Arabidopsis thaliana: one gene and its partners. The protein of the gene in region 2 purifies or fractionates together with the protein of the main gene of each other region. This does not show direct contact. Each region holds a gene or a part of one and is shown on either strand. Other genes may lie near its edges.

Evidence for each region.
Region 1: the proteins of AT3G05060 (region 2) and AT5G52490 fractionate together in Arabidopsis thaliana (co-fractionation; one large-scale study listed by BioGRID). This does not show direct contact.
Region 3: the proteins of AT3G05060 (region 2) and FKBP53 fractionate together in Arabidopsis thaliana (co-fractionation; one large-scale study listed by BioGRID). This does not show direct contact.

The regions. Positions count from the first base shown.
Region 1 is NC_003076.8:21,295,595-21,301,625, forward strand, and holds AT5G52490 (Fibrillarin family protein), read left to right. Parts: upstream 1-3,262; coding exon 3,263-3,281; intron 3,282-3,517; coding exon 3,518-3,891; intron 3,892-3,973; coding exon 3,974-4,051; intron 4,052-4,143; coding exon 4,144-4,389; intron 4,390-4,483; coding exon 4,484-4,645; downstream 4,646-6,031. Other genes in the region: FIB1 (fibrillarin 1), read left to right, coding at 569-637, 736-915; AT5G52480 (RNI-like superfamily protein), read right to left, coding at 1,324-1,900, 2,020-2,168; AT5G52500 (uncharacterized protein), read left to right, coding at 5,981-6,031. UniProt on the Arabidopsis thaliana protein: S-adenosyl-L-methionine-dependent methyltransferase that has the ability to methylate both RNAs and proteins. Involved in pre-rRNA processing.
Region 2 is NC_003074.8:1,410,883-1,418,745, forward strand, and holds AT3G05060 (NOP56-like pre RNA processing ribonucleoprotein), read right to left. Parts: upstream 5,175-7,863; 5' UTR 5,002-5,174; intron 4,707-5,001; 5' UTR 4,683-4,706; coding exon 4,602-4,682; intron 4,514-4,601; coding exon 4,472-4,513; intron 4,379-4,471; coding exon 4,199-4,378; intron 4,119-4,198; coding exon 3,954-4,118; intron 3,748-3,953; coding exon 3,547-3,747; intron 3,454-3,546; coding exon 2,956-3,453; intron 2,850-2,955; coding exon 2,715-2,849; intron 2,592-2,714; coding exon 2,292-2,591; 3' UTR 1,985-2,291; downstream 1-1,984. Other genes in the region: AT3G05050 (Protein kinase superfamily protein), read right to left, coding at 1-312; AT3G05070 (Cwf18 pre-mRNA splicing factor), read left to right, coding at 5,598-5,725, 6,023-6,155, 6,272-6,386, 6,593-6,651; AT3G05080 (uncharacterized protein), read left to right, coding at 7,156-7,263; LRS1 (Transducin/WD40 repeat-like superfamily protein), read right to left, coding at 7,691-7,789. UniProt on the Arabidopsis thaliana protein: Required for 60S ribosomal subunit biogenesis.
Region 3 is NC_003075.7:12,957,963-12,966,449, forward strand, and holds FKBP53 (FK506 BINDING PROTEIN 53), read right to left. Parts: upstream 4,810-8,487; 5' UTR 4,671-4,809; coding exon 4,658-4,670; intron 4,574-4,657; coding exon 4,500-4,573; intron 4,377-4,499; coding exon 4,129-4,376; intron 4,022-4,128; coding exon 3,879-4,021; intron 3,609-3,878; coding exon 3,305-3,608; intron 3,210-3,304; coding exon 3,042-3,209; intron 2,841-3,041; coding exon 2,618-2,840; intron 2,246-2,617; coding exon 2,158-2,245; intron 2,052-2,157; coding exon 2,010-2,051; intron 1,933-2,009; coding exon of another isoform or gene 1,917-1,932; coding exon 1,868-1,916; intron 1,777-1,867; coding exon 1,695-1,776; 3' UTR 1,387-1,694; downstream 1-1,386. Other genes in the region: AT4G25330 (SAWADEE protein), read left to right, coding at 1-267, 347-563, 645-721; SHB1 (EXS (ERD1/XPR1/SYG1) family protein), read right to left, coding at 5,420-5,522, 5,600-5,736, 5,827-6,258, 6,339-6,383, 6,463-6,567, 6,659-6,917, 7,002-7,122, 7,213-7,342 and 3 more. UniProt on the Arabidopsis thaliana protein: PPIases accelerate the folding of proteins. It catalyzes the cis-trans isomerization of proline imidic peptide bonds in oligopeptides. Histone chaperone possibly involved in H3/H4 deposition to the nucleosome.

The DNA.
Region 1 (6,031 bases), on a different chromosome or scaffold from region 2:
ATCAGTTCATTGAAATCGGCATATGATGACATTTCATTTACTATGAAATGTTTGAAGCCTTTTTATTTTACAGTTATATCTTCAAAGTTTTTTTTTATTGCATTGCATCTTTTGCTTTTAAAAAAATCAGTACAATGAAATCGGCAGATGATGATTTTACTTGGATTCCCCTTCAGAACATTTATGGGTGTTGCAAACTCCAAGCTTCTGATGCTACTTTGTATCTTTTTACTAAAATTTTTTACTTTGAACATGCAAATCTGTTTTAATCTCAAAGTTTTTATTTGTCTTCATTTGGTATATCTTATCGATTTGGAAGAAGTCTTTTCGGTTTCTTCTGGTTTTCAACAATTGCATTTTCAAGTCATTTAGAAGTTTTACTTTATTACTAAACTTGGAGACTCAATTGTTGTAGCAATATTGCTGAGCTAGCAGAGATTGCTCCAAGAAATCTGCAATGATTCCATAAATGTTTCTATGTTTATGTTAATGTCTCTCTTTATTCTCATTTTGGTTCTCTGTTTATGTTTTATTTAATTGAATCCATCTATTTGCCTAACTCTTGAAGGCAAGAATCTTGGCCCTGAATGCCTCATTTTTCCTCAAAACTGGTGGACACTTTGTTATCTCAATCAAGGTCAGTGCTCTTATCCTTAATCAAATTCAACAATGTTCTCCTCTGTTATTATTCAATTTGTATTTCCGTCGCTAAATAAACATGTCTCATCTGTTCAGGCCAACTGTATCGACTCTACAGTTGCAGCAGAAGCAGTCTTCCAGAGCGAGGTGAAGAAGCTGCAACAAGAGCAGTTTAAGCCAGCAGAACAGGTGACTCTCGAGCCGTTTGAGCGTGACCATGCCTGTGTTGTTGGTGGTTACCGCATGCCGAAGAAACAAAAGACCCCAGCCTCATAGAGGAACTGTGGACAGTAGTGCCTGTGTATTAAGACTTATTTACTGGGTTTTGTTTTTATCTCCTTGCTTGTTGTATTAAGCTAGAGATGGATAATGCTTTTATGTCTCATTTGGAAAATTTTATCCTCGTTTTAGAACTAATATATATTGATGCAACATTTTCGTCCAATGATTGTATCTCCATCAGTCTTTTCTATGCTTGTTTTTGCTTGGCTATAAGAACTACTGTCCATTTTAATCCTACTTGTTTCTGCATGCTGAATTGATTGTTGAAGTAGTTTGTTTTGAACATGATTATGCTCAAGAAAAGGCGTAAAAGTATCACTTAGCTCTGAAAGGAACTCATTTTTTTTTGGTTAATAAAATTTTAAACACAAACAAACCGACTAAGTGTTATTGACATAAGTCTCAATACAGTTTCAAGTAATATTCGGCTTCTTCCACTATTGGATCAAAGTTATAGGCGCCTTCTTCCATCGGTAGCGCATTTTTAAGTATTGCCAATTGGCGTGACCAATGAAAATAGTAAGTTTCAAAAGAAAACGGGTAATCAGCAGAGGTAGAATCATTGTGGCGTCTCAAATCTTTAATTTTCTCAAAACAACGCTTCTCTAGATTCCCGACAAGGTTGATACATTGGCGTAAATCGAGGTGTTCCAGGTGAGGACAACCGTCAAGAATGGCGTTTAAGCCTGTTTTGGTTAGTTTGTTCCCACAAAGCTGGAGATGGCGTAGTTTAGGCATGCTTTCTGCAATTGCTATGGCATCATGATCATCATCATCCGAACTTAAGTAAAAGAGGCGGTTTAGCATCAATGTCTTCAGATTTGGACAAGACAGCCCTGCAAGTTTCATAGACTCTCCTGACAATGATATTCCTGAAACCTCAAGCTCTTCAAGCATTGGAAGTTTCACAACTGCTTGAACAAATCCATCGTCTGTTATTTCTGAGCACATTAGTCTAAGGCTTCTAAGATTACTTGACCTACAAGTAATGGTGTGTAAAAAGTTATAAATCATAATCTTGAGATATCTGTTTTTAACAGACACTTGAAGACTTACATGAAAAGTAATCAAAAGTCAAAACTAGAATTAGAGGAGAACCTCTCCGCGATGTATGTAAGGAGAGAATCACTCCCGAAGTCCCCAATGTTGATCTCCAGCAAGCCACCCTCGCTACGATCAACGGCGTTACGACATATCGCCTCAGGATTGTTCACCAGTACTGGTTTGTTGTAACTCAAGATTCGCATGTCGATTTTACGCCATATGGATGGGTCTTTACAAACATATCGTCACGATCTACACACTTTCTGAGCGTTCTCCAGTATCTCAGTCACGCTAAGACGTAGCAGAATCAAACACATCAAATCCGTCGGAAGATCCGCCCAGTTTTTTGGCTCTTCGTTTTTCATCAGTGAAGACAGCGGATCCATTTCTGATGAGGATCAAAATGTCAAATCTGTGAAATATATATATCAGAAAGTCATTTAGTTTTAGGCCTTCTTTGATTATTTGTAGATTCTAAGTAGTTTTTGGTTTTAGTTTTAGGCCTTGAATGGTAGTAGATTCTAAAATGGTTTCTAGTTTGCATAAAAAAGTTTCCTGAAAAGCTAAGAAATCTAAATTTTTAATTTTTTATTAATTAATGAAAAGCAAAAAAAAAAAATCTATTTATGCAAACTAGACACCATTTTAGAATTTACAATCATTCAAGGCCTTAATTGTTTATTAACTAATGAAAAAAAAATCAATTTTATGAGTTTTTTGTCCAACTTCGTGTGATTTTTTTTCCTCTTCTTGTTTTGTTTAAACTAATGATTGTTTTGGACTTTAAAGTCAGAAGGCATCTCTGATTACTTGATCTGCAATATAAAGTTATAACAATAAGATGCAAAATTTTACAATCTAGTCCTTATGGCACTAAGTTTACGAAAACAATTCATGTCTAATAAGCCCATTACCTGAATTAATTATTGGGCCTTAAGCTCCTAATATTCTGACCTTTTGTATTTCAAAATCATGTATTCCTTGCATAACAAGAAATCTGATGGTGGTGATTCGATAAAAAGAGTTCGATAGGATCTGAAATCTTCCTACAAGAAGTAAACTGTTTAACAGAATTTGTTAAATGTAATAAATAAAAACTTTTCCATATTTATCGGAAAAATAAATGGAACCTTTCCAGCTTTCCTATACCAACTCCAAATTCCAATAGATAAACATTCTTAAACCCTAGCAGGGGCTCGATAAAAACTAAAAAATAAAAAAACCAAACACGAAAGCTGCAAACATCGATTAACATCAACCTTCTCTTTGTTGCTTTCGCTCTCGCTCTATAGCAAAGATGAAACCTCCCCAAAGAGGTTAGAACCCTAGCAGCCGTTTTGTTTTACTACTTGTTTAATTTCTCTGTTCGACCTATAGTATAGGGTTGAGGGTTGTTAACTCCAAATTCGTTTTGTCACAATATATCTACCTGAATTGCTTGTTACGTAAACTGTTTTGAGTCTTCACTTCTTCAATCCAAGTTTAATAGGAGATTTAATAATACTCTCTTCTGATTAGTTAATTTCGGTTTTATCTGTATGATTATGCTCAGGACGTGGTGGTGGTGTTAGAGGTGGAAGAGGTTTAGCCAGAGGCGGTGAAGGAAGTGCCGTAAGAGGCAGTGGAAGAGGCGGCGAAAGTGGCCGTGGAAGAGGGCCTGGAAGAGTTAAAAGTGAATCGGACGGTGGAATTAAGGGAGGAAGCAAAGTGTTAGTGACACCACACAGGCACGCAGGAGTGTTTGTTGCCAAAAGTAAAGCAGATGCTCTTGTAACCAAGAACTTAGTTCCTGGTGAAATCATTTACAATGAGAAGAGAATCTTTGTTCAGAACGAAGACCGATCTACTGTTGAATACAGAGTTTGGAACCCTCATAGATCTAAGTTAGCTGATGCTATTACCACTGGTGTTGATAACATTTGGATCGTAAGTCCCATAACTTAAAGTAACAATCTCTTTTATTCTTCTGTTACCGAAACTAATGAATACTTGTTTCTTGAAATTGTAGAAACCTGGTGTTAAAGTTCTGTACCTTGGTGCTTCTTCTGGATACACCGTGTCTCATGTCTCTGACATTGTTGGTCCAGTAAGTGAACACTAAACCTTAAACCCTAACTTTTAAGATTGAGTGAGTGTTTTCTCTCTATGTTACTTATATCTAGCTTTTCTGATTGGTAGGAGGGATGTGTTTACGCTGTTGAGCATTCTGATATTTGTGGTAAAGTTTTGATGAACATGGCGGAGAAGAGAACTAATGTTATACCAATCATTGAAGATGCTAGACATCCTGCTAAATATAGAATGCTTGTGGGAATGGTTGATATCATATTCTCTGATGTTAATCACCCTGAGCAAGCTAACATATTAAGTCTCAATGCTTCTTATTTCCTCAAATCTGGAGGGCACTTTATGATCTCTATAAAGGTTTGTAACAAAACTTTTTTGACCATTGATTCAAATCAAAATCATTCTCTTTTTAGTGTGCATTGTTTGGTTAACTCTAAGTTACTTGTTTCAGGCGAATTCTATAGACTCAACAATTGCAGCAGAAACTGTGTATCAGATGGAAGTGGAGAAGTTACAAATGGAAGAGTTGAGACCAACAGAGATATTGCATCTTGACTCTTGTGAGGAAAAGCATGCTTGTGTTTTTGGTGGATATCGCTTGCCTAGGAAGTAAAAAGCTGATACTGCTATCTAATTAGGAAGCTGATACTCTTTACTTAGTTTGTGATTGTTAAAATTCATACACATTCATGAGGCTTTAAAATTATTATTTTTCTCTGATTCTCACTGTGATTTGTCTTCTAACTAGTATGAGTTTTAAGAAGTTGAGTTTTGCAAAAACAAAAGGTAGAATACACATACATTTTGAGTTGAATTCTAGTATTTATATTTTGGTTTGTTTTATCGAACGTGGAACTAACACAACGTTACATTGAAGAATCATTCATTGTGATTTGAGATTTTCAATGTGATTTTAAAAGTTTGTTATCGATAATATGATTTTGTGGAAGTGTAATTTCAAATTTGTAGACAGAAAGTGAAACTCTGCTTGTTCATCAATTTATGTTTCCTTAGACATAATTGATAAATACATTGTTTTGTGTTTATGACAAAGAGAAGACGATAATTAGCTGAAAATAATCACATTATTCAAATATGTTCCAAAGAATAAAATTTTTGCACTATTTGCTATTTTCAGTTCTGCCTTCTAATAGATTAAACTTTCGTAATGAACTTCATCCTTGAAAATTTAAGAGTAAATTTGAAATTGGTCATCAGGTCATGTATTAAAGGGAAAAATAACAAAATAAAAATGTCAGAAGTGGGATTTGAACCCACGCCCTCTTACGAGGACCAGAACTTGAGTCTGGCGCCTTAGACCACTCGGCCACCCTGACTTTTTGTTTGTATAACTACACTAAACTTAATTGACATAGATTAAACGGATACTAATGCAAAATATGAAAATAGGCGCAATATCAATGTCTGCTTGAGCTATATCATATTATCATTGAAAATAGACCAATTGGCTGTAACATTGAAAATAAAAGAAATAAGATGGCTGGACACGTGGAAAACAAATTGCAAAAGAAAATGATTGAAGGAAATGTGTGGATTTTCGTGTGTCGATGGTAAGCTTCTATCAACTTCATTTATAACCTTTTTCTTATATGGGTTAACAATAACACAAGTAACATGTTCACCAATTATTTGTTCTACAAAAAAAAACTAACAATTTGGTAAGTTTAGAAAGAGAACCAGAACTAACCATAATCAATTCTAAAGCTATACCGTTTAAACTGACTAGTCTCTCTTCTCTTTTGATGTCTCATTCTGCAAAATTTTCATTAGGAGAAACATTCAGTTTTTAGACTATTAGTACACATCATATACAATCTATCTACATTTTGTAAAACTCAAATGTGTTAATTAATCAGATCTAACTACATTTGTAAATTATTTATGCTCTTTATACATTTTCAAAATGTAAAGATCCACAACAAGAGGAATGGGTTTGTTCTTAGTCCTATTCCCCGACCACAACAACAACGACTCTTCT
Region 2 (7,863 bases):
CTTTGGCGGGTTGCTCCGTCTCGGGTCAGGAGGCTTAGACCTTTTTCTTTCGCCTTTCGATTTCCTCTCCTTGGCCTCAGTCACAACAAAGCCATTCTCTTTCTTCTGATCCACAACATCTTCATGATTCCTAACTTCCTCACCATTAGAAGCAGAAGCAACAACAACAGCACTAGTGCTCTCTGTTGTTTCGGTTTTGGTCACAGACACATTGTTAACTTGATGTCGATTAGACTCAATCCTAGTACTAACTTCGTCTCTAGACCCAGAAACTGATCCTGATGATCCGGGTCGACCCAATACACAACCCATCTCATCAAACAAACCTTCATTTGCTCAACATGTTTCTAAAAGAGAGATCTCTGACTCAATCAAACCTCTTTGAATCAACTTTGACTGCAACACACACACATACATGAAAAATTGAAACAGAAAAAATCAGAAAACAAACAAGAAAATTGATTCCAACTAGAAACACATCGAAGATCAGATTTGACTAAAACAGGAGACTTAGAGAAAAGGGTTGGTGAAATTTACTTACTTTATGATCGAGGAGAAGCGAAATTCTGGACCAAGCTGGTCAAATCTGAGACTTGAACAGAGAAAGAAAATTAAACCCTAGTTTTAAGACAGGAGACAAGTCAAAGGAAGGTAAAGATCTGAAACTTGTTTAGAATTTAGACACAACACAAAGCTGACTCAAACTCAAAGAGACAACGAAAATAGGAATGAAATGAGGGATGATTTCAAAAACTCCACAAAGAGAGGCAAAAAGATAAAGGAAAAGGAAAAGAAATGGAGTCCAAGAAGATTTTAAAAATGAAACCTTTAAAGCATACACAAAAAAAGAAGAAAGAAAAATCAATTAGGGCTTTGGAGAAAAGGCAAGGTGATACATACACATATACAACAGAGTCGTAGACCAATAATAACTCTACTATTGTTTAAGAAGGAAGAAAGAGACCAACTTGGGTAAAAATGTCTCAAGGAGAAGAAGGATTCGTTGAACTGCTCTTCGAATTTTACTTGAAAAAGAACTCTCTTTAGTTTTCTGCGAATCAGACAAGAAAAAGGAATAAATAGAAACAGACGAAGATCTGTTGGCTCTTTGTTATTATTATTATTATGTGTAAGTAATTGTTTTTGGACGCAACACCAATACGGTCAAAAAGGCTCAAAGTTACTACTCTTCTTCAGCCCCCACCAACTTAAAAACCTCTGAGCACCATTTTGTACTCATTTCTTCTCTCTTTTCTCTATCACAATTTTCAATTTTAAAAATTTGTGGAGTACTATAAGTCTATAAAGTTTGGGGGAGATTTTAATGTGTAAGAGGTCCAATGGTGTTAAAGAAGTGGTTTTCTCAATGACATTAGAATATTAAAACTGATCTATAATTTTGTTGGTCAAAAACAATATATTACTTAGCATATGTAAAGAATATTTGGTATGTACCCACCTAATTTTGGAATTTATTATTAAAATAAACACTAAGAGTTTTTTTTAATATTAAAATAGGAATTGGAAAAACAAATAAAATAAGAAATATGGTATGTAATGAGAGTTTACTTCATCTATCCAATCAAAGAAGCTCCTTTATCAAGACTCTATTGTAAACCAAACAAGGAACAAAAGCTTAAGGAACTAATGATTTACGTCTGTCCTTTAGAATTAGCCATTTTATTTCTTTTATGACTTAAAGCTACATATATTATCTATTTATTCATTCATTCCCAGCATTATTGCTAACTACTATGTATTCTTGTAGACGATATACTAATTTTATTGACCTCATTAATTTGATTAAAATCTTGCCAGACAATAACCAAAGATAAACATGCATAGTCAACAAAGAGAAATACGATCATGAAAAAGATACTAACGCCTGTAAAAAATCTTTAAAATCAAAACAAAATCAAAGAGTATTTTATTTGGTGAATCTACAGACACGTTTAGTAGCAAAAAACTATTTGATTTTTTCAGAATATATTATTTTTCTTCAATTCTTTCCTCTTCCAGATATATATAAATCATGCAAGAAGAATATTGTACAACTACAAACTATAAATTGAAAAAAGAGTTCCAAAATTAATAATCTAGAGTCTGGAAGGCTAGAACAAAAATAAAGTTCGGGTGAAAAGGATTTAAATATGAATCCATCATTCAAAATGACGATTTCAGAAAATTTAAGTTTCATCTTAAAACACCTATTCCTCTAGATAAAATGCAATTCAACAAAAACAGTTATTAATCTTACACTCAAGAGATTTCTCAAAATCGGTTTCTCTCCCTCAGTCCTTACTCTTCTTTTTCTTCTCTTTCTTATCCTTCTTCTTGGCTGGTGTCTCCGTTGTTTCTTCTTCCTCATGCTTTCTCTTCTTCTTATTCTTCTTCTTCTCCTCCTTTGCAACCTCTACTACGGCTTCAGTTTCTGCTTCAGCTTTCTTCTTCTTCTTTTTCTCTGATGGCTCTTCCTCTTCGGGTTTCTCTTCTTCTACCTTCTTCTTCTTTTTCTTATCTTTCTTCTTTGATGGCTCCTCAGATTTAGCTGAGGTTTCCCCAAGAAGAGAATCTGCAGCAGTGTTGTAAGTCTGCACATAACAAAAAACAGTCAAGATCACTTCATCATAATCCCAAGAACAAAGACAATATGTACACACATCCAAAATTAGAAGAAAAGATGATGAATCAAAAACAGAGAGAATGATCGTGACCTTAGCAGGAGTGATAAGACCGCCTGATCCCATCTTTTTATCCTTGTTATAGACTTCAATCTTAGGTTTGCCTTTAGATGAACCAGACAGACGACCTAAATCTTTTCCTTCAAGATTTCTCAACCGCGCTTCAAGCTGTGAGTTTTTAACACATATCAGAAACATCATCAGTTAAGAAGGAGGAAAAAAGATTGTTCAGAGAGATACCAACAAGAGGAAAGCTATTGAAGAATTTTGTTACCTTAGCTCGGTTTTCAAGGCCCATAGTGTTATCTTGGCTATCACCAAGAGCATCAACCCTAATAGCAAGAACAGTTTTAGCAGCTAAAGACCGCGAGATCTTTCCCTTGTGCTTTGGTGCTGCTTGACCAACCAGAGATGCGTGAAAAATCAAACCGTACTTGGGTGTGGCGTGTTTTGTCTTAAGAGCTCTAAAGAGAGCTTTTTCGGCTCCGAGTATCTGAACCGTGCTCCCAGGTTGCTTGGAGAGGTTCAATAAACTACCTCCATGGGAAATAAGACGAGCACCAACAAGCTCTCCTACCAGGGCAGTCAGATTGGGAGCAATAGTGTTCATTCTGCTCTTTAGGTAATCGTAAAGCTGAGCTCTGTACTCAGAAAGAGAGAGAACCTGGTCACAGAGTTCACGGATGTGCAACAAGTCTAAGTCACTGACTTCTGTTCCCATGGATATCACAGCTGCGTCCTTAAGATCTGCCTCAATTTCATCTGCTAAGATCTACAATGAAACCAGAAACAGGAGAATATTAGGTCGTTAATCAAGGCGTTTGTTCATGGAAGCCTCTACACAGTTTACAAAATTGAAAGTTACCTCGGAGAAGTCTAGCTTAGCAGCATTAACTCGGTTTCCCATCAATTTAACAGATTTGGCATATAGGATATTGTCTGATATGATCTTAGCAAGCTCGGGAAAATGCCATCCATACCATTCTCTAACCCTCATGGCGTATGTGTTCAGCTCTTTGTCAAGATCATCAAGCAGACCAATAGCTTGGATAATCATGGTATCCACCTGACAAAAACTAAACAGTTAGGAGATGCAAGAGAAGCAAAAACAAACACAGGAAACGTTTAATGTCGGACAATCAAAGGCTAGTTCAATACAGAAGTTCCATAATTTAACACAAGTTAGCTTCGATCAATTAACAAATTCATATACTTCACATATCATATCACCAAATAAAAAGACCAATACAATTAGTCAGGAACCGAAGATACCTTGTCAGAACTAAACTTTAGCTTATATCTGGCGAGACTGTGAGACAGACCCAAGCTCATAGGAGCCAAGTCTTGATCACCCAACCCAGATATGAGTTCAGTAAACTGACTTCTAACACCACGTAGAAGCTCCATAACAGCATTGTTGTGAATGCAATCAATTTTCTGTATGAAATTAAGAACTTTCATTAGAAACAAAACACAGAGCAGACAGGAATATGGGTGTAATGATGGGAATTACAAACCAGTTTCTCCTTGATAACATTCCCAAGCTTTGAATCAGCCACAGCCAAGGTTTCACCTTGACAATTAGCTTTCAAAAACTTGCGCAGACCTTTGCTTGGAGCTCCCTCCAGCAATTTAGCCACAGCTTCGAGAGCTTCAGATGTATTGTCAAACTTCTCAAAAGCTTTTAGCTTAACCATCTGGTACACCAATAAAAACATATGAGAAACTCAACACTAAATCTAATTTTAGATGTTCTGAAACCACACTTGATGAAGAAGCAAAAAAATTACCTTTCGTGCTGAGTCTGGAGTGTCGAACTCTTTACACAAATCCTGCAAAAAAAAATAAAAAATAATCCATGAATACTTTTAGAGCCTTAAGGATAAGCAAAGAGAGTACAAAAGAATGAAGAGAACTCACCTCGACGTTAGCCATCTTTCCTTCATCTTTAACTTTAAAGAGGGCAAACCCCGCCGCTGTCTCGTATAGCACTAAGACCATCTTCACAAAACTCTTAAGCTGGACCTGAAGAGAAAATTAAGACAACACTTAACTCAGAACAGTAAAGATACGTGTCCGAGTCACACTAATTAAACTAAAAGTTCGTTTTGAGATTAAAAACTAGCGAGAAACAGCATTCCATATAAACCCTAATCCTACTTTTAGATCACATAAGAAATACAGGAGAAGAAAAAACAGAGAGATAAACTACAATAGCCTTAAAACTCTGTCCGAGTATGAGTATTCGAAACTCCACAATCTCCAGCAAGAATGGAAAAGTGAAACACCGTGAAGAGAGAAGATGAGAGATATTAAATACCTGAAGAGTTAATCAAAGCAGCTGCGTGAGAGAGAGGAAGAAGATGAAGACGGAGACGGACAATCACTTAGGGTTTTAAGAGTGTGTTGTTATAGCAGTTAAAGACGAGCCGAGCCTTCTTAAAACGCCGCGTATTGTAAGGGGTATTTCTATAACTTCCATAGTTAGGGTTTAGGTTTTAAGATTAATGGGCCTGACTGAATGGATATTTTAATCTGGCCCGTTTATAATATTAATACGTGGGCGTTTTATTGTTCTCTTCCCCCTTAATAGTTTTTCTTTTTTAATCCCTTTGTTTCTCTGTGGTATTCAACAAATTTGTCTCGAATTTATAGAGCTCGAAGCTTCAAGGTACGGTTTCAAATTTTCTCGTTGATTTTCTGGGTAGATAGCGTTTTCCATACTTCTCTTCAACTTTATTTCATAGTATAGCTCTGATTTTGCTAAAACTTCATCTGATTAGTTCCGTGGATCCTGAAAATCACGATTTTGCGTGTTGTTTAGGGTTATACTCTGTAGTTGTGTGATTAGTGTTTGAAGAAGCTGGGCTAGTGTTCGATGTTTACGTCGATAACCTAATTTTGCAGGAAGTTATAATGGCTAGTGAAGATGAATCGATTGAACAAAAAGCTGCTGCTCGTAAAGAGGCACTTAAAGCTCTAAGGGCAGCTCAGGAACTGTCTGAGACCAAGGAAGACGGAGAGGATGAAGCTGTCGAAGAAGAGTGAGTTTGCTTTGTTCTTTGCTTATTTTGTTTGTCTTGACTAGCACATGGAGTTGTTAATGTTGTGTGTTGGCTTTAGCATAACTAGGAGCTTCTCTTGTGCTTTGCTTCTCGCCTTTACTATCACTGTTTGTGAGAGAATCAATAATGGTGCTCTTGCAGCATCTGTTACCTAACAATTTTTTCCAATTTCAAGTTGCATTGTTGTGTATACTTTGCTTAGGTGGTTGGTTTTGTTGATTGATTATTCGAGGTAGATTCCCTTTTTATTCATATGAATTGTCTTTGATTTTACAGTGGTCCAGCCATGAAGTTTAGAAACTATGTTCCCCAAGCTAAGGAGCTTCAGGATGGTAAACTAGCGCCACCAGAGCTACCCAAATTCGAAGATCCGATCGTTGCACTTCCACCTGCTGTAGAGAAGAAAGAGGTGTGTGTGACAGTTTTTCTTTTCTCTGTACAAGGATCACCAAAAGCGACTCTGTTTAGCATTGTTGTTTCCTTTACTTGTGCCTCTTAAGCTTACAAAAAATGTTATCATTGTAGGACCCATTTGTTAACATCGCTCCAAAGAAGCCAAACTGGGACCTCCGAAGAGATGTGCAGAAGAAGCTTGATAAGCTCGAAAGGCGGACTCAAAAGGCAATGCATAAACTCATGGGTAAGTGGCAACTGTATCTACATACTGATATCTTCTATGTAAGCTTGATAATTAAGACATTAGTCTGTGGTTCGTGAGTAAGTGAGTAACATTTCACTGAATCTGTTGGTAGTATGATACCAAATCATAGAAGTCCAAAATAGAGTGATCTGTTGGTGTTTGTTTATTATGGAACTAACACATGCACTTTCATCATCTAATTGCAGAGGAGCAAGAGAAAGAACGTGAGATGGCTGAAGCTGATGGTAACACCATAGAAAGTTGAAACCCAACGACGTCATCAAAGAAAGCCACCACTGAACAGTATATTCTACTCGATTTTGTTTAACTGTTAAAGCATTCGAAGTGAGTAGACCATGTAAAATCCTACAGCCATTGGCATAGACATAGTAGGTTTATCTTCTTGTGTGAATCAAAGAAAGTCGCAATTTATTTCCGAGTAGAATTAAGTGCGGTCCGGTTTTTCTCTAAATTTGGTTCAACATCGGTGGTAATCTAGTTTGATCATTAATGGAACTGCGTTTTTTGGTTTGATTCGATTTACTGTGGTTTGATAAAGACATCCCAAACTAGAAACCAAAGTTTTGATTCGGGCTAGACGGGTTTAGTTTGGAGTCTGGGAAAACAACACAGAGAGCTTCTAAGACCTTTCTTCTCGGCATGTTGCTTCCACAGTGGGATGATGGAGTTTAGATACAATATTTGTTTATTAATACCGAACAATCAAAAATAGATACTAAGTTTTTTTGTTTTCCAAAGCTCAAACCTAATGTACAAATTCAGTAAAGCTTTCGACACCATCTCACCTAAATATCTTGGACCTTTATTGGTGCCCACTTCTCATGAATCCAAGCTCCAAAGAAGAGAAGCTAAGTAAACACTAGGCCAAGGTAAACCAAGATATATGCTTTTCGAAGGAACAAGCAATGAAAAGCTATAGACTTCCATGTGATTAAATGCACCAGCAGACAGATCCCAATCTGTAGAGCAATAAATGAATATGGTGATATTCAATTTCAAGGCTTCGATCAACATAACATTATTGTTCCTATCATTTGTTTCAAACCAAAAAGAGCAATCTACAAAGGCTTTGGTATCAGGAGTTGTGAAAAAGCTCACATGAAAAATCTACCAACTCAAGTATCTCTATTTTTCTTTCTGATGAAAATACCTAATATGAAATCACCTTCCCAAGTAAAAACTGTCAAGTAGATGGAGCCGCTCAATAAATTTTATCTTGACAACACACCAACATAATGCATTACCACAAGTTTTCACCTTTTTCTAATATTTTACCTCAAAAGTTATCTAGCTATAGCCACTCTGTAGTTGAGAATCAGATCCTCAGGTTTCTTCCATACATATGCCCGTACAGTTGCTAAACTCATATCTGGAGATAAGACCTGAAATAATCACAGAGAAACAGCTCGTTCAGCCTCATACTGCAAACAGTTAATTGAAACCAGAAACAGGGCAA
Region 3 (8,487 bases), on a different chromosome or scaffold from region 2:
GAAGCTTGGTACGCCGTAGAATTTTCTGACATCTGTGACGCTTTGTGGATCAGCTTCAACGGCTTCTCTTATGAGCACGACGAGTTTTATCCAGCTGACGATTTCAAAAACTCCGACGAGATTCAAGAATTCGAAGAGAGGTTTCGAGCTTGTTCCGAGCAGATGCAAGACATCGAATGTCCCAAGGTCCATGAAGGCACCCAGGTCTGCGCCACGTTTCCTTCCGTCACCGAAGAAGTCAAGTTCTACGACGCTATCGTCGTTACGGTGAGTTCTAGAAATTAATCCCGGTTTAGTGTTTGAAATCTCAACTCCGGTTTGAGTAATACGGTTTTTGTGTATATAGGTGGAGAGGACGAAGCATGAACGAGACGAGGAAGGGAACGAAATTTGTGGATGTGATTTCAAACTTTTCTGGAAACAAGGTCCTTGGATTAACCAAGTGACTACTGCGAAAGTTGGAGATATTTGTCTCAGAGCAAAGGATAATCGAATAAATCCAAAAGTGGTTTCGTTCTTGAAAGAAGCTAGAAGGAAGCTTCATGGAGAAACATGTAATCAAGGTAATTTATTACACTTATCTTTCTTTTGTCTTATGATTAAAAACTTACTATGTAACGGATTAGTGTATATGTGTGAAACAGGGGAAGAGACAGAGTGGCAAAAGATTCTTGAGAAGGTGAATTCTGCTATTCAAAACAACTTAAGCGTTGATGGATGATTATGTTATGTTGCTTAGTGTGTTGCAAAAAAAAAACTGAATACTCTAGTTTGGGGAAGTCTCTTAGTTCATGCCTATCACTCCTTGTTTTTTTTTTTCTTGTTGTTGAAGTCCTTGGTCTGAAATATATATGCTTGATTTAATTGTGTTGATGAACATCACATAAGGTTTTGTAAACAGAGGCATAATTGATAATTACATTTGCAAACTCTAAAGTTCACAATCATAGTCCATCAAATACTTAGGAGCCGAACATCAAAAATGAGAAATTCCAATTCTAAAAACATTAAGATATCAGAAACCAGAGGCCCGCCGTAGAGATTGCCATTGCGACGGAGAATAATGGTGACGTATGGTGGATCATCAATGTTACAAAAATAAAAAAATAAAAACGGGTCAAAAGGTCAGAAATAACAGTAAAAAAGAACTTGCAGAACAAGAAATAGGTCAAAGTCTTTCTGACGGTACAAAAATGACAAATTCGTCACGGTGATGATGGTGACGTAACTGTACCTGAGAGTAGAGAGACCTTGATTAGAGACTAGTGAGAGAGACTTTCCACAAATGAATCATTGAATACTAACTAATGAAGAAGAAACTATAATCACTTTATTTACACCAAAAAAAAGGGGTATTATTTACATTATTCAATTGAACGGATTCACGAGTCGGGGTTGTCGTTGCTATAAAATCTGGCTTAAAGTTGATTGGCCCCTTTTTGGGTTCAAGTCCATCTACTATGTAAACAGCATTTGTATGATTCCAATTTTTGGTTTTTAAGCAAGTGTAAAATAGGCCAACAAAAGCTATCTGGAAGAGGAAATCTGGGAAACAAATGCTATGGTCTTATCACTTGAAACACAAATCCATTTTTCAAAAAGATTCAAGTGTTAAAAAGGAAAGAAACAATCTTTTGCAGCTACAACACCATTCAGAAACCCCTCATCAGAGATTCTATGAATTCAGGGCAGTTTTATTGAACATTAATCAGTTCGACATCAAAAGTCAGCCAAGAATTAGGAGGAATCTGGCCACCAGCACCCTTCACACCATACCTGGGAGCCAAACAATATTATCATCCCATTAAAAAGGTTTAACAAAACATTGCTAATTCAAAATAACATAAATCAAAATGAGTTTACTTACCCCATTGATGGAGGAATTGTAAGCTTCCTTTTGTCACCAACGCGCATGCCTGTGGAATTCAAAAACTTGAGATGAATACAACACGATTCACTTTTTGAACAAAGTTATAAGTAAAAAAACAGTAAGAAATTAAGATATATACCATTAACTCCAACATCCCATCCCTTAATGACTGATCCAATACCTACACGTTACAATAAGAACATAAAGTATCACTTACACCAGCAATACACTGTAATTCTCAACCAATTTCCCAAGCTATTATCTTTGAATCTAGTTATAATACCAACCTAGACGAAACTTAAATGGTGATTTTCCAATGTTGGAATCGAAAATCTTCCCATTCTTCTGAAGTTTTCCAATATAGCGCACAGAAACCTGCACTCAGAGACAATAGAATGAGCTCCAAAAAGATTTGGGAAAACACACAAATACATTGATGCACTCTAATAGGATTTTGGATTCAAACCAAGTTCACAAAGACAATTAGCCAGAGTTAACCACAACTTAAGGGTTTGAGTGTTTGTAGGTTTTACAAGCCATTAGTTTGTTCACTTCCTATTTAATGTATATTCTTTGGTGCTCTTAGGTCTAAGTCTAACAAGGTATTACTTTGCTCACTTTCTATCTAGTGTCAATTCTTTCAACACCCACATTCTTATCACACTACCACCTTGTTGCATAATCTATATGAGATTGCAGTAACCATATGATATTATGTGTGCAATTTATGACTTTAAGTGTGCATACCGTTTTTCCAGGATCAGCTCTCTTGCCGTTGGGTTTTCCCATGCTCAACTCTTCAACAATGAGCCCATTTGGGTATGTCCGTACTTGAGAAGACTTGGAGTCCGCTGGGGTTTGCTTCTCAACAGTACCAGAAATTTCTGCAGCTTCGTCACTTGGTTTCTTCTTTTTCTTATTTTTAGTTTTCTTCTCAGCAGATTTATCTGGGGTCTTGGAGCTTTCACTCCTGCAATAATACCATAAAAAAGCACAGACTTTTGTTAGGAGAAAAAGTTTGAAAGAACCGCTGTATACTCATAAGCGTTTTTTACTTTGTGATCTATGTGAGTAATAATTCAAATACTTACTTACTGATATTTCACAAATGACATAAACACAATCTGTTATCACCAAAAAAGTTCTCAAATCAAGAAATAAGAGTTCTCACATGGCATTGTTTGCAGTTCCATCTTGAGCTTTTGTGTTTGAAGAAATTTGGCTAATATCCTGCTTCTTCAGAACATTTCCCGTCTGAACTTGTCCAGCTTCCTCATTTAAGACATTTTCCCCTTTCTTCTTCTCTTTCTGATTTTTCTTCTTTTTACTCTTGTTTGCACTGGAACAGATTTTAGAAACAACTTCGTATCCCCACGATATATAAAATATGTGAACTCTGTCCTCAGAGTCAATAGAGAGCAAAGAGAGTAGTACCTTTCTTGTCCATCATCTTGCTCAGCAGCCTTGGCCTTCCGTTTCTTGTTACTACCTTGTTCGTCATTATCTACAACCATCTTCTCACCTGACGCATTCTCTACTTCAGATGATTTTCCTTTAGGAATAGGTAAACCGTCTTCGTCTTCATCTTCGCTTTCCAAAACTGGAACATGGGCACCCTCTATGGCAACGATTTGTTTCTTTGCATTCTCACCTTCGCTAGCTTGACTCTTCTTCTTGGTTTGTTTTGCCTTATTATCTTTGGCAGGTTTCTCTTCATCTTCTATCTCCTCAATTATAACTAGCAAAGATATCATTCAGATTAGTTTTAACAGAACAAGGAAAGATCAATCATATAAACTATTAACACAAATGTAGAACAGGATCAGCACCAAGGAGACACACTTGTACAAAAGCTTAAATTTACGGACATACATTTGAAAAGTCTTTTATCAATATCTTTTTGAAACCTTCTAGTTATAAGACAAGAGTGACGAATCAAGCAATCACACTAAGCTAAAATGGAAGTACTAAGATGCAATCTGATAAGGATCTCTGTAAGAAAAAGTACCTCCACTCTTTGGGGCAGCAGCATTCCGATACCTTTCAAGATTGCTATCAAGGAAGTCTTCAAATTCATCCAATTGCTCATCCTCTTCACTATCATATTCACACGAATCGTCTTCCTCAGACTCACCAACATCAATACCATCTCTATAATATAGTCGCAATGAAAACATTAAGATTTCTAAACAGATGGAATAATAGAAAAACAAGAAAGCATTATTTGCTAAAGTAAACTAGTAACAATGAAAGGATACGAATCATCTTCATCATGCTCATAATCATCTTCATCGTCCTGATAATACTCCAAGAATCCAGACAAGTGGATACTTCTGTCACCAGTCACGGTGAATTCCACTGGCTCATCATCATCGTCAAACTCAAGATTCAGAGGGCAACATTCGATTTTGTTTGGCAACAATGAACACAAAGCAATAGGAGCCTTGTCTCCTATTGAACACTGAATCACACTCTTTTCTTTGCTCAAACCCGTACCTAGAGTTGCCTGAATGATGGCAAAACATACATACATCAATAGATATATCAAACATATTCAGATTCCAAAACTAGACTACACAAATATACAATTCATATCCCAAATCAGCTCGAAGGAACAAGAGTATAGTACCTGGGTCACGTGAATCTTTCCTTGTTCATTTTTTGGATTATAAGCTTGAGGCTTCCCAGGTTTCACTTCAAGTCCTGCATATGTTAACAACACAAAATCAGAACCTAGGAATCATGCTCCGGGAAAATCAAAGAAAACACTGAGCAGAGAAAACTAACCCCAGAATCCCATTTTCTCAGCTAGGTTACTCCTTGGAATCGAAGCGGCAACTTTGTTTCTACAGACTAAAACCCTAATCGAAGGTTTTTAGCAGACGAGCTTTATATCGAGATTAAAGCGGTTTCGAGAAATTTCGACAATTTGTGCAACCGCGCTCTCAGTTTGGGCCTTAACAGACTTTGAAATTCAATGAAGCCCCAATGAAGCCCCAATGAAGCCCATATATTGGTCTGTCATAAATCGTAAAGTAAATGGTATTGTCAAGATACTCTTCATATTTGATAACATTTAATTTGTGTTCATTATTTTACTAGAGTTAATTTGAAAAAAAAATCTATAATTTTCTCTCATGTAAACGCAAATTCAGAAATTTTGTTTTAAATAAAACAATATGAGACCTATCTTTCAACAAAACAATACAATATTGAGACCTAAACACACTGTACAATGACGTGAGTTTCTATCTTTCTTGTCAAAATCTGAAGTAAGTGTACAAAGTAATGTCTTTTTGTTGTATGTAACCAAGTTAGTTAAGTGTTTGTATCTCTTGTTACCAAGGAACGAAGAGATTTCCACTTGATTTCTCCATAATTCTACCATCGCTTAGGTCTGACCCTGAGAGTGAGCCAGCCTCGAGTTGGCTCTCTGAAGAATACAGCGGAGAGGCAAAGCTCGATCGTTACAGTTGTATACCGGAACAGCGGTGAAAAGTTTAGTTGTTGTTTAGGTAATTTTGTGAAACCAAGTATTTTCTTGTTAAGCTAATTGTTATGATGATCTCCATCTTCTTCGTAGTTGAACGGTAACGGGACAGTTTTGAACGCCCTGTATCTCCCAACGTTGTTCAAATGCTCATTCTCCAGCCTAATCAACAATTACATTTCATTAGTTTTGTGTAGATTCATGCATGAAAACACCATCTTCTCAGTCTCGGAGCTTACCTAAAGAAGTTCCAGATACCTCTGCGTATGATCTCAAGGCAAGCCATAAGCGCGACCATAGTTTCTCTATGCAAGAAAGAGAATTTCAGATCCAAAACTGTTTGCAACCACACTAACCTCAACAAAACATTCAGGACCTGCCAAGTACATGAAGCAACAATCTTCACCATATATGTATAAAGAAAAAACAAAAACAGAGGTTATTGCTGTTTTCTGTTTGCTCTCACCATTGCAGCGTAGTACACGGTTTTGTGAGGAACAAGAAGCTTGTCTCTCAAGAAACTATTCTTACATCCTCTTTGAAGCAATCCCCAGTCAAGAACAATGTCCCAGTAAGTTCCGTAAAACGTTGCAACTCCTGAGAAAACCCAAGCTGTGATATTCCAGTTGCTTCCTCGGTTTAGAGTATAAGCTGTTCTAAGAGAAGCAGCAACGATGGTCAAAAGGTATTTGATGCCATTGTAGCCATGACTCAGATCTCTGTCTTCCACCATTCTTCGGATGCACTGAAGAAACCGTAACCAGTAAGGTATAACGGCGACGATGAAGTAGAATGTTCTGAATCCAATATTTGATGTGCAGGTGTTTCGTCGTCTATATCTGAAATCTCCAAAACCATAGTAGCATATGTAGAACTCTAGACTCCTCAGTGCTTGAACCTAGCATTGATTGTTTAAATCAGAAATCATCGATCAAAATAAGTATGAAGCTATCTTATCGAGTATAGATTTTCTCGAACCTGGCTTGTTAGTTGATCTCCCAAGAAAAAGTCCGGAAGATGCACCTGCAAAAATGGAAGACATTCTTCTTAACATTTCTGTTTATGCTTCAGATGAATGGAGAGGAGGATATGTTGTTGGTACCGCGTAAAATGGTGCAGCAATGCAGCGGAACAGAACCGAGAGGAAGAAGAATCGGCTTGACCGATACAAAATGTTAAAGGGGCAGAGAACAATGATAATCACTAACTGCAATATGCAGAGAAACGAGTCTTACTAAAAACAAAGATTGAGTTGTGTAAAATGTACTGAGAAATAGAGAGAGATAGAAGGAACTTACTACGAGAAGAAAGAGGGGGATAAGTTCGGTGACTAATCTGTAATCTTTTGTTTGAGCATCCATTTCCATGTCAAGGTTTAATAAGACAGCACATAAAGAAAGTGTACCAAGACCAAAGCTGAGAAGTAGAACATGTCTATAACCAAGTTCAGTGCCTTGTTTGAATCCAAAGATGAAGGAGTAATTCACACGGTATCGCCTCCAGAAGTAGATATTAGCAGCGTACACGTCCATGTGCAAAACTACAAACCCAAAAAACCTGCAAATGAAATGTATATATCTCAAGAATATTACACAGAGACAGAGATAGTGTGTTTGGTTTATATTTGGTCGTTTTACTGACCTGTAAAGAGGGAACATTGTTTCCATATAAGTTCTTTGTCCCGGTGTACCCATGATATTACGAGCATGGATGATCAAACCCAGAGCTACAATGAGAGAAATACCACAGCCGAAAAAGAAGCCTAAAACAAAACAAAAAACAGAACAAAATGATGAATTACTCTTGAAAATACATGTCAAAAGATTGGTTATTGTAGTGTTGATATATATACCGGTGGAAAACGTTATAAGATGACGTTCTTTATTTATTTTTGGTCTTAAATGGCTCATCCCTTCCCTCCGATTTGAATTGGAGAAATGTTCAATGAAAATAGATTCAACCTTTAGCAACAACTTATGAACCTGCACATGTTTAAAGCTTCAAACTAAAGTTTCATGTTTCGATTTTCCTAGATAGAAGAAGGATACTTACTTCTTCGGAGCTACTGAGGAAAGATTTATCGACCATCTCCATATACAGTTTCGCAGCATTTCTTTTGGCTATCTAAAGAGTAGAGCATATATATTAAACTAGAGTAAATGCTGTAAAAGCTTGTCAAAATTATCAACAGAAATTAAGTACCTTATCATACTTCTTCATGATCTTGGAAACAGCGGAAGCGTTCAAGAAGCTGTAGTTTTTAAGATGTCGAAGCTTCTGATAAAACTCAATGAACGCTACCTGAAGTCGCTTTTCCACTTCCTTGAGATTATCTCTTGTGAATTTGAGCTCGTCCTGCTTATGGACCTTGAGTATAGTTTTAATTGCGGACAGAGGAGTTATTTCTCGAGTTTTGTTCATCCTGATGCGCTCAAGAATACTCTCATTCGATGTATCTTCGTTCCTCATAAGATCAGCTAACGCCACATCTGATTAACCAAAACATAATAAAGATTCATACTTTTCAGTCTTCACAGGCCAAAATTGAAACCAAAACAGAACATGAGAAACTCACTTACTGTGTTCTGTACACTTTGAAGATGATCCAACCTCAGAAGCTGAGCCATTGATGTCTTCTGAAACTGAATCAAAGACAGAAGGGTTCTTCTGATTCTGATCCATGACTTTGTGTCTGAAAGCAATCAAAGCATCCATTTGTTTGTTCAGAGCCAGAGCCTCAGTTCTAGCTGTCTCCACTTTCAGCCTGTAAAAGTTATTTACCTTGTTGAATTCTCGATCTAGGGTTCTAAAAAAGGTAACCTCAAAGTCGCCACCTGCTTCTCCGGCCTTTAAAAACGTAGTCTCGTAAGCCGCCGTCTCGAGCCCTTCTTCGAGCCGTGTCACAGTGTTGACCACAATGTCGTGATTCTCAGAGACCAAGGCGTCGCGGTTGTACCGTCTGGTTAGGTTACGTGCGAAGGAAGGAGTACTGCTCTGGTTATTGGAATCTGACCTATTCCGGGAAGCTTGGATGTCTTGAAGAATGGTTTTGAGGTAAGCGTAATCTATATAAGCTTCTTGCCATTCTGGGATCATCTGAGACACAAACTCTTTCCCAAACCTCATG